Oryzias latipes: one gene and its partners. The protein of the gene in region 1 interacts with the protein of each later gene in a pairwise test. Links are inferred from orthologs where the notes say so. Each region holds a gene or a part of one and is shown in the gene's direction. Other genes may lie near its edges.

Region 1 (5,381 bases):
TGTCACACAAACGTAGAGATCTGATCTTTAATGGAGGAAGAAAGGATTCAGGTGGACAGCTGCAGGGATACTGTTGAACCTGCGAAATAACTTCTCTTTTTTTCTCTCTGACTGTGGTCGGAAACGCAGGGGAGATTTTCTCCAGGGCCGAAGGCGGATCCTCGTTTGGGATTCACTTTCCCGCTCGGATCGTCAGCCTCCAGAGCGAGTTAATAAGACAAAATACTTCTTCTGGGGAGGGACATCATCTTTTTATTAAGGTTCTCAGTCTCGATCACACAATATAGACGCAAACTCTCCCGCTCCGCGCTCTCACCCCCCTCTTTCGCCCGTGCTCTCACACATGCACGCGGGGTCTCCAACACACACACAGGCACGCACACACACGCGCGCGCGCGCACACTCCATAACTGTCGCCGTCGGCTTCATCGGGCTGCAGAGATCCTCCAAACCACCAATCAAAAAATAAAACATTAATAAATCATAAATCAAACAACTAAACTTCCAGACATTTGGAACGTTATCAATAAACATTCAGCTCACCTGTTCAACTAAGTTTAGTCAGTCTGCTCTGCTGCTTTGCAGCGTTCACTTGTTGCTGCTGCTGCCCTGTATGCTCACTTCCACTTTAATCTCGTAAAAATACAATTTTTTTCTCATAAATTTACGGTTTAAAATTTCATAATTTTACTTTTTTTGGTGGCCCTAAAATTCTGTCGTACCGAATAGTTTGAATCTGCCAGGCTTTTATTTTTTCCCCGGAAAAAAAGTCCTCACTTCCGTTGTGCTGAGCTTAATGCTAATGCTGCGGTTATGTCGTCGCGCTTCGGGTAATGCCGTTGCGCTGTCTCTTAATGCCGTTGTGCTTCGGGTAATGCCGTTGCGCTGTCTCTTAATGCCGTTGTGCTTCGGGTAATTTCGTCTTGCTTCGGGTAATGCCGTTGCGTTTTTCCATTTGTATGTAGTGTGAGCCCTGTCGGCCACCGTAGTAATCATGTGAAACGATACATTCACAAACAAAAGCCACAACGAAAGTCTGAGATGAAAATGGGATGACTGGAAGTGACAATTTTCCATCTACCAAACTGAACCTTTCTTCTTTTGCAGATAAATAAATTCTCATACACCCTAGGCTTTAATCATATGTGTTTTAAATATGTTCTTGTAGTATTTTTCTGATGATGGAGAACATATATATACATGTATATAAAGAAAGTTAAGCTCACAATTGCATTGCTGAGTATTTCTTTATGCAAATCATTGTGAATCAGGGGCAGTCGAAAAAAATGCTGTTGGAAGAAGGTCTTCATGTGATGTAGAAAATATGCTGTCACAGTCTCCCAGCTCTGCTCCATTCTGATCATCCACTGTCAGACAAATAGATCCGTGAACGTCTGTTTTCTTCGTCTGAGCTGGAATCTGGATCTAAACTGTAAACGATAATGCTGCCAATTTTGTTGCACCGCTAATGTTAGGATGGGATTGTGAAGGGCTGGAAGCTAGTGGGACAGTGTATAAACAGATGGGCCTACTACTCAGGAGTAAATTTCTAATGAACTCCTGCCGCTCTCTGCAGAAACTGTTCTAGAAAACGACAGATTGTTTTGATGTTTTATTTTATTTTTTTGTGCCTAAAAATGGCATAATCATGATTAAAAGACCACTGGGAACGCTTTGGAAAAAGATCAAAAGATGAATAAAGTGGGTCTTAAATGACCAAACATTGATGCAGTCAGAATAAATTAGGTTCGACTTGCCAGACATTTCTGTTGATTTTGGCGAATGAAACTCAGAATTGTATTTTCCGATTTTAAATTCGTAAGTGAATTCTGGGATATTAGATTACATAACGTTTTATTACACAGACATTTTCTGTAAAACTAATATTAACTTTCTCTCAAAATCGACCATCGAAACCTCGTCCTGGATCGATTGGTTACGTCTGTTTATGATGACGTCTCGTCGCATTCGAAGTGACGTCAGACTATTATGGCGGCCTCGGTGGCTTCACGTGAGCTTTTCACAGACGCGGTTCGGGCGGTTCTTCACAGCTGGCCGGTACTACAGGTGAGCTTCGAACCGGGTGAGGATTCAGATCCACAGAACCTGTCCCGGTTCTCCGCTGCGGTCCAGATGAGTCAACTTTATCTTGACCCGGTTTGGGGTGTTCCGCTGGGAAGGTGGACCTATTGTTTGGATCTGGTCCCAGTCGGGTTCGACAAATCCTCCGTTTGTTTGTTAGATTGCGGTGGAGAACGGGTTCGGGGGCGCGTTCGGCCCACAGAAGGCGGACTGGATGGTGGACGTGGTGCAGCAGTATTTCCATGACAACGGTTAGTAACCATGGCAATGTTTTTGTGCCTACATTTGTTTGTTTTTCTGTTTGTTTGTTTTTGTGTGTGTCTGTGTATCTGTTTGTGTGTACATTTGTTTGTGTGTACATCTGTTTGTGTGTGTGTGTACCTGTGTTTGCTGTGTGCCCACATTTGTTTGTGTGTTTCTAGCTGACCTGCAGCAGTATGAGGTGGAGGACTACCTGGCTGTGCTCCTTGATCAAGAGTTTGATACTGTCGTGGATGACGGGAGCTTGCCTCAGGTACCACGTGCACGCTCACGTGGACACACACATGCATGTCCTGGGGGTCATTCCAGGGGGGTATTCCAGGAAGCATGTTTAAATTAGCCAGACTTTAAGCCTGAACTCTGGCTGAAATCCGCCTGAACTTCCTTACTCTGGATATGTCGGTTCCAAAAGACCAGATATGAGTTAGCGTAATTACGCTCCACTTGGTAACCCTGGGTTAATGCACGCGCACAGCAGGTACATAAAGACATTCTCAATAGATCGCCGATTTCTGGAGTCACCATGGAAACGCGTGGAGAAAAAAAAGAAAGAAAAGAAAGCGCTATACTTCAGTGAGACGGAGTCTGAGGTTTTAATGATGGCGTATGAAGATTATACGTCCATCAAAAAAGTAATACGGCTGCAACATCAAAAGAGTTTCTGCTTGTAGTAGAAGAACAGACAAAGTAAACGCACGAGTTTCTGATCTTATTTCCATTTTCCTTGTGACGCATATATATATATATATATATATAAAACCTATCCAATTTTGCCAACATAAAGGAATTACTTCTATTGGTAACAAATAATTGAGTTAAATTTATTCAACCTAATTTCTTACATCTATAAAACTCAATAATTTTTTATACAACTCAGATTTACGTATTTATCCAACTAAATTTCATATTACTCCAATTCAATCAATCTTTTTTCCATCTAAATTAATTATATTTCTTGAACTCTCAAATGTCTAAGTTTGAGCCGGCAGATATGCTCATTTGTATAACATTAAAAAGGACGGGGGGAAAAATGCGCGGAGTGCAAAAATTGTTTAAATAATTTTCCGTCATTGTCATTACAACGCTAGACCGTAGGGCTGCTATATAAACTCATTATCCTCTCCTTCACTCTCACTCATGGTGCAAAGACGTAAGCTTAGTAGGACAAAATAACTCGGCAAAACACAGTAAAACAACTAAACACATTCTGTCAAAAACACACACTTAAACCCAAATCCGTCCAGAGAGGCAAAGGGAATGATATCCCACAATCCCTTGCGGTGCCGATCTAACAGCAGCACCAAAGTTACACCTACTTAATAGAATTAATTTGAATGAAAGGAAAATAACTGTATGAAAACTATGTGTTATTTTTAATCTGTCTTAAAAAAAAAAGCTTTATCTTAACTGAAGCAAATAATTAAGTTAGCTCAAAGTAAAAAAGTTTATTTTTCCAACATCCATATGTGGTCTTATCACCCTCTCATGGTGGAAAAAGTATTATCTGAGCTTCTTCATCCACTAAATCATCTTCAAATGAACACGCCATGCTGCTTCACCTTTCTGAAAACAAACTAACCTTCAACTAAACCTGCTCCAGACCAGGTTATGTTCAGAGCATGAGTTCCCATGGCAACTTGACATACCCTGAAACATACCTCCATTTCCGGAACCGAAAGCTGAGGTTATCAACTTCCTTAGCCTCAAACTTACCGTGAGAGCTAGAATAACCTGCTTTCTGGAATACCCCCCAGATATGAGTTGGCGTAATTACGTTTGACTTGGTAACCCTGGGTTAATGCACGTGCACGTCAAGTACATAAAGACATTCTCAATGGATCGCCGATTTTTGGAGTCACCATGGAAATGCGTGGAGAAAAAAAGAGAGAGAGCTATACTTCAGTGAGACGGAGTCTGAGATTTAAATGACGGCGTATGAAGATTATGCTTCCATCAAAAAAGTAACACAGCTGCATCATCATCAAAAGAGAGAGTTTTTGCTTGTTGTAGAAGAACAGAGAAAGTAAACGCACGAGTTTCTGATCTTATTTCCATTTTCCTTGTGACGCATATATACAGTGAGGTCAATAAGTATTTGATCACCCTGTGATTTAGCAATTTCTCCCACTTAGAAAACATGGAGGGGTCTAAAAGTTTCATCATGTACGATTTTTTTAAACGATTTATTTGTATATTACTGTGACAAATAAGTATTTGATCACTTGAGTTGAATAACCTTATTATTTGGTGCAGAAGCCTTTGTTAACAATTACAGAGGTCAAACGGTTCCTGTAGTTCTTCACTAGGTCTCTACATACTTCAGCAGCTATTTTGGCCCACTCCTCCATACAGATCTTCTCTAGATCTGTCAGGGTTCGGGGCTGTCGCTGAGCAACACAGAGTTTCAGCTCCCTCCAAAGATTCTCTATTAGATTTAGGTCTGGAGACTGGCTAGGCCACTCCAGAACCTTGATATGCTTCTTACAGAGCCACTCCTTGGTTTTCTTGGCTGTGTGCTTCGGGTCATTGTCACGCTGAAAGACCCAGCCACGACCCATCTTCAACGCTCTGACAGAGGTCAGGAGGTTTTTGCCCAAAATCTCACAATACAAATCCCCCTTCATCCTCTCCTTAATACAGTGCAGTCGTCCTGTCCCTTGCGCAGAAAAACACCCCCAGAGCATGAAGCTTCCACCCCCGTGCTTCACTGTAGGTATGGTGTTCTTGGGATGATGCTCCTCCTTCTTCCTCCTCCAAACACACCGAATGGAGTTAAGACCAAAAAGTTCTATTTTGTTCTCATCTGACCACAAGTCTTTCTCCCAAGACTCCTCTGGCTCATCAAGATGGTCATTGGCAAACTTCAGACGGGCCTTGACATGGGCTGACTTCAGCAGGGGAACCTTCTGTGCGATACATGATTTTAAACCAAGACGTTTTAATGCATTGACCAGCTCCTCCCTTGTGGTCCTGGGCTGATTCTTCACCTTCCTTAGCATCATCGATACCCCACGAGCTGAGATCTTGCGAGGGGCCCC
Region 2 (4,868 bases), on another chromosome or scaffold:
CTTTTTTTTCCTACTCCTGATTTACAACGATTTGAATAAAGAAATACTCAGAAATGCAATTCTGAACTTAAATTTATTTACATATGTCCTCCATCATCAGTAAAATGCTACAAAAGCATGTTAAAAACACCCAAAACACAATTTTCAATGAAGGGGGTCTTTAATTTATCAAAAATATTCTTATATGCTAAAGAGCCTAACTACGACGGAGTATTAGGGCCACCAAAAAAAAAAAAAAATTAGAGCCACCAAAAAAAATAATAGTAAAATTACGAGATTTTATCTCGTAAATTTAGGAGATAAAAACTCGTAAATTTAGGAGATAAAAACTCGTAAATTTAGGAGAAAAAAAGTCGTAATTTTAGGAGATTACAGTGGAAGTGAGCATGCAGAGCAGCAGGTGAACGCCGTGCAGCAGCAGAGCAGACTGACTAAACTTTGTTGAACAGGTGAGCTGAATGTTTATTGATAACGTTCCAAATGTCTGGAAGGTCATTTGTTTGATTTACGATTCATTAAAGTTTTATTTATTGATGGTTGGTTTGCAGGATCTCTGCAGCCCGATGAAGCCGTCGTCGGTGTCCCTGCAGCTGTTCGCTTGAATCCTTTCTTCCTCCACCAAAGACAAGACTCTACGTCTGTGTGACGCTTCCGTCACACAAAAGGAGGAGCACTTTTTTTTGGCATTTTCAACGTTCCAAAGCTAATATAAAACACTATTTTCATTCCTCTTTATTGTTTTATGCTGAAACGGGACATTTCATCTGCAGGAGGGGGCGTTTGTAACACTGTTTACTTCCGCATTGGTGTTGGGATGACAGGTTCATGACGTAATGAGACAAATGAACTTCAGAAAATGTGAATGAAAAGGAGAATAAAGGCTGCAGCGATCCTCTACACCCAAACGTGTCTCTGAGCTCCTTATTTTACATATTAAACTCCGCTTTACTGACACTGAACCCCGGAAAGACTGCTACACGGAAAATGATCTGATTTTGAGTCGCCAAAAGGTTCAGAATCTCTTTGTTTTAAACCTATAATAATCCGGAAATGAAGCTTCACAAAAGGCTCCACATACTTCATCTTCAAGCTAGGTTCCGATAAACGGACAACTATAGTGTTTTTTCCTTAATCTACGACTTTTTTCTCGTAAATTTATGAGATTTTAAGTCGTAAATTTATGAGATAAAAAGTCGTAAATTTACGAGTTTTTATCTCCTAAATTTACGAGATAAAATCTCGTAATTTCACTTTTTTTTTTTTTTGGTGGCTCTAATTTTTTTTTTTTTGGTGGCCCTAATACTCCGTCGTACCTAACTAAGTTATGTTAATAAAGTTTAAAATCGAGAAATAATACGACATTTACTGTATTTTAAACCACCCGAAATGGCCATAAATTCACTTCTTTTGATAAAAAAAAGAAAAGAGAGAAATTTTCACGCGTGTTTATGAACACCGGAGATCCTCGGTGGGCGGGGCGAAGAGCGGGCCTTTTCAGGCGGTTCGTCCTCTTCCGGTCCTCTTTCCATCTTCCCGTTCAACATGGTGAGTCTCTGTCACTTCTGGCGAATTTATTCAACGAAGTATATCGATTTACCACTTCATTCCGATACAAATGTGTATTTTACTAGATATTATAAAAACAGGCGCGGTCTATTAACACTTGACTAAGTTGTAAATGAGCGAACGATGGGTAGAAATCCGTGTCGGGCCTAATGCTAGCTGTTAGCAGGCTAACCGTTTGGTGCATGTGTTCCGGAGAGCTAGCATAGCTGTTGCTAAGGTGTGCTCATTTAGGTCAGACTGCGAGCATTCAGATGTTATAAACGGTCAGTGTAATAGTGACGCAGTCGTCCAGCTTTTTCGTGTAAATGTGGAAACACCAAAACGCTCCTAAACATCGCCATCGCGGGTCTCCGCTTTACTCCGCAGAGACCCAGCGGTCCTTTCACCAAAGGCATTTATTAAGAAATATTTCCCATTTAGGTAAAGGTACTTTTGAATTGTATAGTATATGTGCTCGAGAAATCTATATTTCCATCATCTGGGACCATTTCAGTTTCTCACGGTAATCTAAACTATCCTTGACCACCCAAAAAGAACAGGAAGCAGATTGGAGTAAAAAATAATATTTTATTGCTGTTACTATTAGATTCAGTAGGGACCACAAGGCACACATTTCTAAGGTCCAGAGATAAATGTTGGTGGTGAAACAAAGGATAATTTCCAATTCTGAACAAAGAAATACACAAACTAGCCCAATAGACCTAAAATTGAGCAAGTTATTAATATTTTATGTCTAGCTGATCGCCTTTTGTTTTGTGGCTAGTAAACAATGGGAAAACTTGGTAATCACAGCTAGACGCATCAAGACTTTTTGGTGTTTTTTAATGCTACATCTCTCCTATCTGTGCTCTAAACCCCATCAATTTCTAATATGACATGGTAAAAGGGATGCTGAAGGTTTTAATATTTTTTTTAGAAAATTGTTCATGTAACGTTATAACATGCTCCTCTGGCTGCAGCTTATTATGCCGTATTAAGGGCTTGAACCCGTGACCGCTCCTTACTGCGCTTATTTACAATGTTCGTCATGATGTTATGTGTAAGACTTGGGTCTGCAACGACGAATGACGCACATTTCCTCAGTGTTTAGTGGTGGTTTTGGGGACCTTATTTATCGTGTACCTTTCATGAAGCTGTGAAATGGAACCAAAGTTGTGAAAAATTTGCAGTTGGCTCACAAATGTCCACTAAGTCCACTTTACCTTTTTTTTAAATTTGAAATCAAAATATAAATTATCCCAGTAAGCACCGCAGCGCATATTTTAACACCGTTTATTTTCCAATGTGAAAGCCAAGTTTTTCAATGGTGACACAAACGGCGTGCGCAGTGACACCCTTTGCGGTCCCTAGATTCAGCAGGACTTCCACACAATATTAACTCTCAAACGTTCAACTATTCTTTTAAACATTTACATTTGTTGTTTTATAACTTTCTTCTGTCGTTGTTTTATTCGTATGTTAGCCACTTTCTCTACTCCAGAATTGGTTTTAAACGTAGGAAACGACGAAGCTTAGCTTTTGCAGCTGTTAATAAAAAATAAAATAAAAATAGTCGATGATGACCTCTTTCTATTTGACAGACTAAGAAGAGAAGGAATAACGGACGTGCCAAGAAGGGCCGTGGGCATGTGCAGCCCATCCGCTGCACCAACTGCGCCCGCTGTGTTCCAAAGGACAAAGCCATCAAGAAGTTTGTCATCAGGAACATAGTGGAGGCAGCAGCTGTGAGGGACATCTCAGAGGCCAGCGTCTTTGACTGTAAGGAAGTGAAAGCAGCTTTTGTTGGGTTTTTAGGAAACTGTAGTGTTTACAACTTAACAAGAACTAGTTCTGTCTGGGCATCGACCTTTCTGTTTAGTAAGTTCGGTGTTATCATGACTGCATGCCAAACATTTGGCCACTGATGGCAGCTTATAGACTGGATGTACTGAAAGGGATGCTTAAGTTTAAATGGGATCGTTTCATGTCTCAGAAGTTTCTTTCTAGTTGGTTGTCATCTGAGGAATCTTTTTTTCCTGCAGCGTATGTCCTTCCCAAGCTCTATGTGAAGCTGCACTATTGTGTCAGCTGTGCCATCCACAGTAAAGTGGTGAGAAACCGCTCTCGTGAGGCCAGAAAAGACCGCACCCCGCCGCCCAGATTCAGGCCGGCTGTAAGTACGACCGAAGCAGCTTCACTGAAATTCAGCGCTGTTGCCATACAGCAAAACATGAACGCGTGACTGACGTTAGACGTCTAAGTTCACTTTTTGTCTTTCCAACAGGCCGGCGCACCAAGAGCTCCTCCAAAGCCCATGTGAAGCAGAGTTTTGAGATGCTGTCCATCTGACAAAGAAATAAACAGATCCTGACAAACATGTGGTCGCGGTCATTGATGTGGTTGTTTTGGGGGCCTAAGCTCACAGTTTTATTTAGAATAGTCGCACTAAACAAAGCATTCCATAGAATAGTAGATCAGATTAAAGAAGTGGACATTTGAACAATGCACTGAAAAGGAGAGGATGGGAGATAACGTGTTGAACAGAAGTTATTTTTTGCTTATTAGGACATATTTGCTGTTCAACACAAAAGTAACAAGTCAAACCAAACATCTGCAGATCCGTCCTTCAGTAGACCTGTGGAGGAAGTCTTCACTGCAGCTACATGTGTTCAGAGGATTTCATCTGAGCAGTGACCCAAATCTGTTTGAGATTCTCAATGTTTTATCTAATTGAGCTTAAGTTTAGGCATTTGATGGAGAACACCACAATCTGTGGCTTTTCTAAGGGAGAACTTAAATCAGTGTAATGCCAGTGTCTGCAACCTTAGGCTCTGCAGGCATGTATTCCCCTTTTTTTTAGCTCCACGTCTTAACAAACGAAACAAGTGTCATTTGTTCACCAATTTAATTTTAGTCAGGTTTGTGACCGAGGTGTTTCTGGATCAGTGAAATAAACAGGTTTACACATCACTGCTACTGCTGGCACTACCCCAAAAGGCTTTATATAAACCAGAGTACACAGATTTCAAAGCCTGGCTAAAGCTTTGGTAAAATATTGGATTTTCTGTAAACTGTTGAGTATGATTGGGGAAAGTTTCAAGCACATGTTCATGTTAACAGTAATAGAGGACAAAGCCACCGTAACCCTTGTTCTATCCTAGGCACTTTAACATTGGGAGTGGGGTCATCTAGACCCACTAGACAGTGCTCTGAAACTTTTTTATTCAATGATTTGTGATCTTCACTGGTGTCCATGGATTACATGAAATCTTTCCACCTTTGTCATGGTAGGGAGAACATGTCAATGTAGGGGTGGGGTCATC
Region 3 (4,771 bases), on another chromosome or scaffold:
AGCCTTGGTTTAGGACACAAGTTGACATCTTCCTGCCTGATTTTCAGAAATTGCAAAACTGAAAAAGATCCACTAAAGTCTCCTGCTTTAGACCCATTTAAAAAAAAGAAAAGTTATCCCCTAAAGAAATTCCAAAACAGAGGCTCTGACTGACCTCTGCTGTGTTCATTATTCAGTCAGCTGACCTGAAGACCATCCTTTTCTGACAAGAGGTCCAGCTTTTTCTGTGCTGGATCTAAAAGAACAGCGTCCTCAAAATCTCTACTGTTGCCCCGAAACCCCAGCTCATGTTTCAAAAGGATGAGGGTCCTTAAAAGGGTGTTTAAGTGTTCTCCCTCTACCTTCACATGTGGATGTTTTACTGACATATACCTGTTTTTGGTTTTTGCACCAAAAAACAGCTTAAACTTTCCACAGGTTACAATTTTATTGAGAATATTGGTTCTCATGGAAGTTGATTTGCAATGTCAGATTTTGACGTTAAAGACTCTGGTGTTTGATGAGAAGGTCTGCTCACGGTCCGCCGTGACCCCAAAGGCGTTCGTTCTGTCAGGGTTCTAGGGAGCCGTCAGCTTCTTCCACACCAAACCTTCATCCACGTCCACCTTCTTTGGTTTGCTGTCATGTTGGAACAGGAAGATGCTAGTCCCGCATTATAATCCTCCCTCCACCAAACTTGCCACAATTCTGCCAGATTTCCCATTCCCATGCCGACCACCAAACCCAGTCTAATCCATCAAATTTCTACATGGAGAGATGGGATTTGTCGTTTCAGAAAACGCATATTTACTGCTTCAGACATTAGTTCACATTTGGACAAAGCCTAGCAGCTTCAGAAAAGAAGTTTAGCCTGACTAACGGGTTAACCTGTAAGTGGTTGACCCTCGTGACCCCTAAAATGACGCTTCACTGAGTATGACCCCAGGCTGAGCTCTGCAAGTTAGATTAAACACACACAGTACTGAGCCTTTGAGGCAGCAGCGTCAGAATTTTCACATTTTTATTTATCTTTTTACCCGACCAGGGGCTGCATTCCTGGATGCTTTGAACACACCTGATCCAGGTAATCATCTGTAAGTAGGGGGTTGAAATATAGAAAACATGCAGACATACAGGCCTGGATGGAGTTCCTCAGTGTTTCATTCTAGAATCAGGTTTGCTCTGTTACTTAATAGTTTGGTAGCTTTAACATAATTTATATATTTACTCTTAATCAAATAATCGTTAGGATCATTGTTTCTTTTTTCTTTAATCCTACTTAATCAAAAATATTTTAAAGTGAAACAATTCTCTCTTTAGAACATGTTTTTTCGATTTTACCCGCCTCTGCTAAGAGGTCCCCGTTCAGAAATCAAATGACGCATGACGTCAGAAGGGCGTCGTTACGTCGTGCAGTATGTGACAGGAAGTCGAAGATGGCGGCGGGGAGCGGGGATTTTTAGGTAAGCAACAAAAAAGGAATGGAAAAAAACAAAAACAACGTCTCATGTGGACTTACAGCTCGGACGGCACCGACCAGAACAGATGGACTCAAACCGAACCAAAGCAGAAACCCCGTCTGACCCCGAGCTTAAGGCGCGAGGAGCCCAGTGAGCAGCTGTTAGCCTGCAAGCTAACACGCTAACAGCTGGGCTCCCACCGAATGTTTGGTTTTTGTATTTTATGAACTGGATGTTTACAGACTGGTTGTTTGACTGCTTAGAGCCTGGTTATAGAAGGCTTATTTCCTGTTTTTTGGTTCTTTATCTGACTATTTACCGGCTGGTTATTGTGGTTAAACCTACAACTGTTCTGACTCTGTTTACAACTTGAACACTGGGGCTTTACGGACCTTTTGGGGTGATTGTCACCCTTCAGTTGCCTTTATTCTTTAGGTTTTGTTCCGGAATTGACTTATTTTTTATTTTTATATTTGTTTTTTTGAACAGACTGGTCATTCAGCTTTTACTGACTGCTTACAGACTGGTTCAGTGATTGGTTACCTGTTCACAGGCTCTTTTGTAGTTACTTTTGCACTCTTAATTCTTTAAAGAGCTTTTTATACCCTCAGGAGTTTACTTACTTTGCTTATTGACTTGTCTAAAGCAGATTTATCTACTAGTGAAGATTTGCAGCCTGGTTATAGGGTGTTTGTTTCTTGTTTATAGAGTTGTAAGAAAATGATGACAGTTTACAGAACAGAGAGAACTGTGCTTCTAGTAGGGATGTAATCCATAGAGAAATGCTTAAAACATTGATGGAGTTAGAAATGACCAAGCTCTAAAATCTATCAGGGAGTAAAACAAAAAATCGGTTTCTTTGTCTGTTACTCTTCCTGTTGAGCTGAATACCTTCATACCTGAACAAATTGATATGACACCTTTTTTTAACCATAGGAAAAAGGTTCTAAAAGACTCAGACTCGTAGGCTTTAATGTTTAAAGCTGTCGCTTCAAAGACATTTTGTTGCTAAAAAAAATAAGAGTTTCTCTGTTAAAAGGCATTTTCATTTTTATTTTTCAATGATGACTAGATTGTATCCATTTAGATAAAAGTTAGTTGCATCTTTTGTGATCGATTCGTGTACCGTGTTATATTAGTGAATCATGTGAGACGACTCTAGCAGAAAGAGTCAAGATGTCTGGATTCTGTCGTCATGCAGTAGAAGTCTTCCAGCTGCAGCAGATGGGCTCAGCTTTAGACGCTTTACTGGCTGCTCCCTGGATATTATCACTTTTTTAACCTTTATTTTACCATCAGGTGGAGATAACCTGGTTTGCTTCTGTGCCCACATCACCAATGGTTGGTCCTATTGGTCCTGGGTGTGTTAGGGGCCGTCCTGGAGCCCACCTCAGCACCTCAGGGCTTGTGTAAGACTGTGTTGTAGTTTTTGTGTAACTGTTGTGTTTTAGCAGGAAGCACCCCAGTACTGCGGACCTGTTGGATCACGTGTGGCCCCACGCAGAGATCGCCATGAACCTGCAGCAGCCCTCTCCCCTCATTCCCCCCGTCCACCCTGATGTGGAGATGAAACCCCTCCCCTTCTACGATGTTCTGGACGTCCTCATCAAGCCCTCCAGTCTGGGTGTGTGATGTTTGCAGGGCTGACAGATGAGATCCGCTCTGATCTTTATTCCAGTCAGACTCCACAGAGACCAAACCAGGACGATGAGCTATTGGTTTCAGAAGAAAACTTAACATCAAGTTCTAAATCCCAGTAGGCAGCACCAGCCTGTCAATTCCCAGGCGTAACTCATGGGTAACACAAAAGAGTTGAACAGTTCCTGGCTGACAGCAAATGTTTCAGAGCAGTGACTTTATGTCCCACTTTGTAGAGCAGATGTTCAGTAGCAGTCGTGTCAGAGCAGAGTTTGATGTTTGGTTATATAGTCATATAAAAAAAATACCCCTTTTCTCTGTTTTCTCCATCTGGAATTCAGTAATGTTTCTTTATTCCCGATCAGTTACTTTATGGGATTTCATTTTCAATTTGGAATTATGTGGCTTTTTTTAGTCTGAAAAATCCAAAACAATCAAACGTTTCTTTGTGTTTCACCTTTGAACTTGGATCAGATGTTTTCCTATTTCAACCTTCTTAAAGCTGATTAGTTCCATATACTGTGGAACTTAAATCCTAGACTCTGTGACCCCCCCAACACACACACACACACACACACACACACACACACATACCTCGTAATGAAGTCCCTTTTCTGTTGGTGACTCCAGAGCTCTGACTTCGTCTAAAGGGTTTTGTCTTCACAGTGAATTATTTTTTAGACATCCCACCATGGCACTACCACCTCCGTGCTTCATGGTTTGATGGTGTTCAGGCGTTCGCTGACAGGGCGTGTTGTGTGTCTGCAGGAGTAAGCGCTGCACAGAGGTACCACCAGGAGAAATACTTCATCTTTGCCCTGACGCCGCAGCAGGTCCGGGAGGTTTGCATATCGCGGTGAGTCATCTTTGGAACATCGGCTACGTGACTGAGAGCCCCGTGACTGATTGTTCTTCCTCTCCTCAGGGACTTCCTACCTGGAGGAAGGAGGGACTACTTAGTTCAGATCCAGCTGAGGTAAGAAGTTTCAGGTTTTTATCATAATCTGCAGGTAAATGTTGCCATTGGGGTCCTCTGGTCCAATTCACAGTTCAGAATCAGAAATCTGCAGGATTAAGCACTCCTTTCAGCCAATCACAGCTAATCAGATCAGAAGTTCAGGGGGATCACAGCTGATTCGGAGAGGTTCTGCTGGGATCTTCACTCACCCACAGAGTCTGCAGATGGAGCAGAAACTGTAGCAGCGCTCTGTGAGGAAGAGCCTTTAGCTGAAAACGCTTTTACTTGAAGGGAGTTCTGGTTATCTGACAAGCATGTGTGGAAATGAGAGAAGACTGGAATCGCTTCGTCTAATTTCTCTGAGTTCCCAGACCAGGACTGCAGAGCCTGCGTTCGGGCTTGTGGCCTCCGCTTCGGCTGCAGCATCGTTTCCTCTGCAGATTAGTTCCATCATATGATCTCCATGGAGAAAGCCGACTTTGATGACGTGACAACCGAGCAGAGATTTCAGTTTCTGACTTCCTGCTGTGTGCTCAGGTTCTGCCTGTCGGAGACCAGCTGTCCTCAGGAGGACAACTACCCCAACGGTCTGTGCATCAAGGTCAACGGAAAGCTGTTCCCTCTGCCTGTGAGTACTCAGCCCCGCAGAACGTCAACCCTCTGAGGAACTTCACACCAACTGATCCAGCCTCTCTCAGGGTTTTGCCCCACCCCCGAAAAACGGCGTGGAGCCGAA

What was found.
Region 2: the proteins of tsr2 (region 1) and rps26 interact in binary tests that used the Homo sapiens proteins (3 or more experiments, as listed by UniProt). The two-hybrid records come from large-scale screens. The link is inferred for Oryzias latipes from reciprocal best matches to the Homo sapiens genes TSR2 and RPS26.
Region 3: the proteins of tsr2 (region 1) and E3 SUMO-protein ligase PIAS2 interact in binary tests that used the Homo sapiens proteins (3 or more experiments, as listed by UniProt). The two-hybrid records come from large-scale screens. The link is inferred for Oryzias latipes from reciprocal best matches to the Homo sapiens genes TSR2 and PIAS2.

The regions. Positions count from the first base shown.
Region 1 is NC_019865.2:30,436,441-30,441,821, reverse strand, and holds the start of tsr2 (pre-rRNA-processing protein TSR2 homolog), read left to right. Parts: upstream 1-1,943; 5' UTR 1,944-1,989; coding exon 1,990-2,067; intron 2,068-2,242; coding exon 2,243-2,333; intron 2,334-2,504; coding exon 2,505-2,596; intron 2,597-5,381. UniProt on the Homo sapiens protein: May be involved in 20S pre-rRNA processing.
Region 2 is NC_019863.2:4,001,613-4,006,480, forward strand, and holds rps26 (40S ribosomal protein S26), read left to right. Parts: upstream 1-1,444; 5' UTR 1,445-1,542; coding exon 1,543-1,545; intron 1,546-3,146; coding exon 3,147-3,324; intron 3,325-3,587; coding exon 3,588-3,718; intron 3,719-3,829; coding exon 3,830-3,865; 3' UTR 3,866-3,922; downstream 3,923-4,868.
Region 3 is NC_019867.2:30,477,048-30,481,818, forward strand, and holds the start of E3 SUMO-protein ligase PIAS2, read left to right. Parts: upstream 1-1,347; 5' UTR 1,348-1,362; coding exon 1,363-1,442; intron 1,443-2,743; exon of another isoform or gene 2,744-2,780; intron 2,781-2,890; coding exon 2,891-3,063; intron 3,064-3,845; coding exon 3,846-3,933; intron 3,934-4,002; coding exon 4,003-4,053; intron 4,054-4,572; coding exon 4,573-4,663; intron 4,664-4,733; coding exon 4,734-4,771. UniProt on the Homo sapiens protein: Functions as an E3-type small ubiquitin-like modifier (SUMO) ligase, stabilizing the interaction between UBE2I and the substrate, and as a SUMO-tethering factor.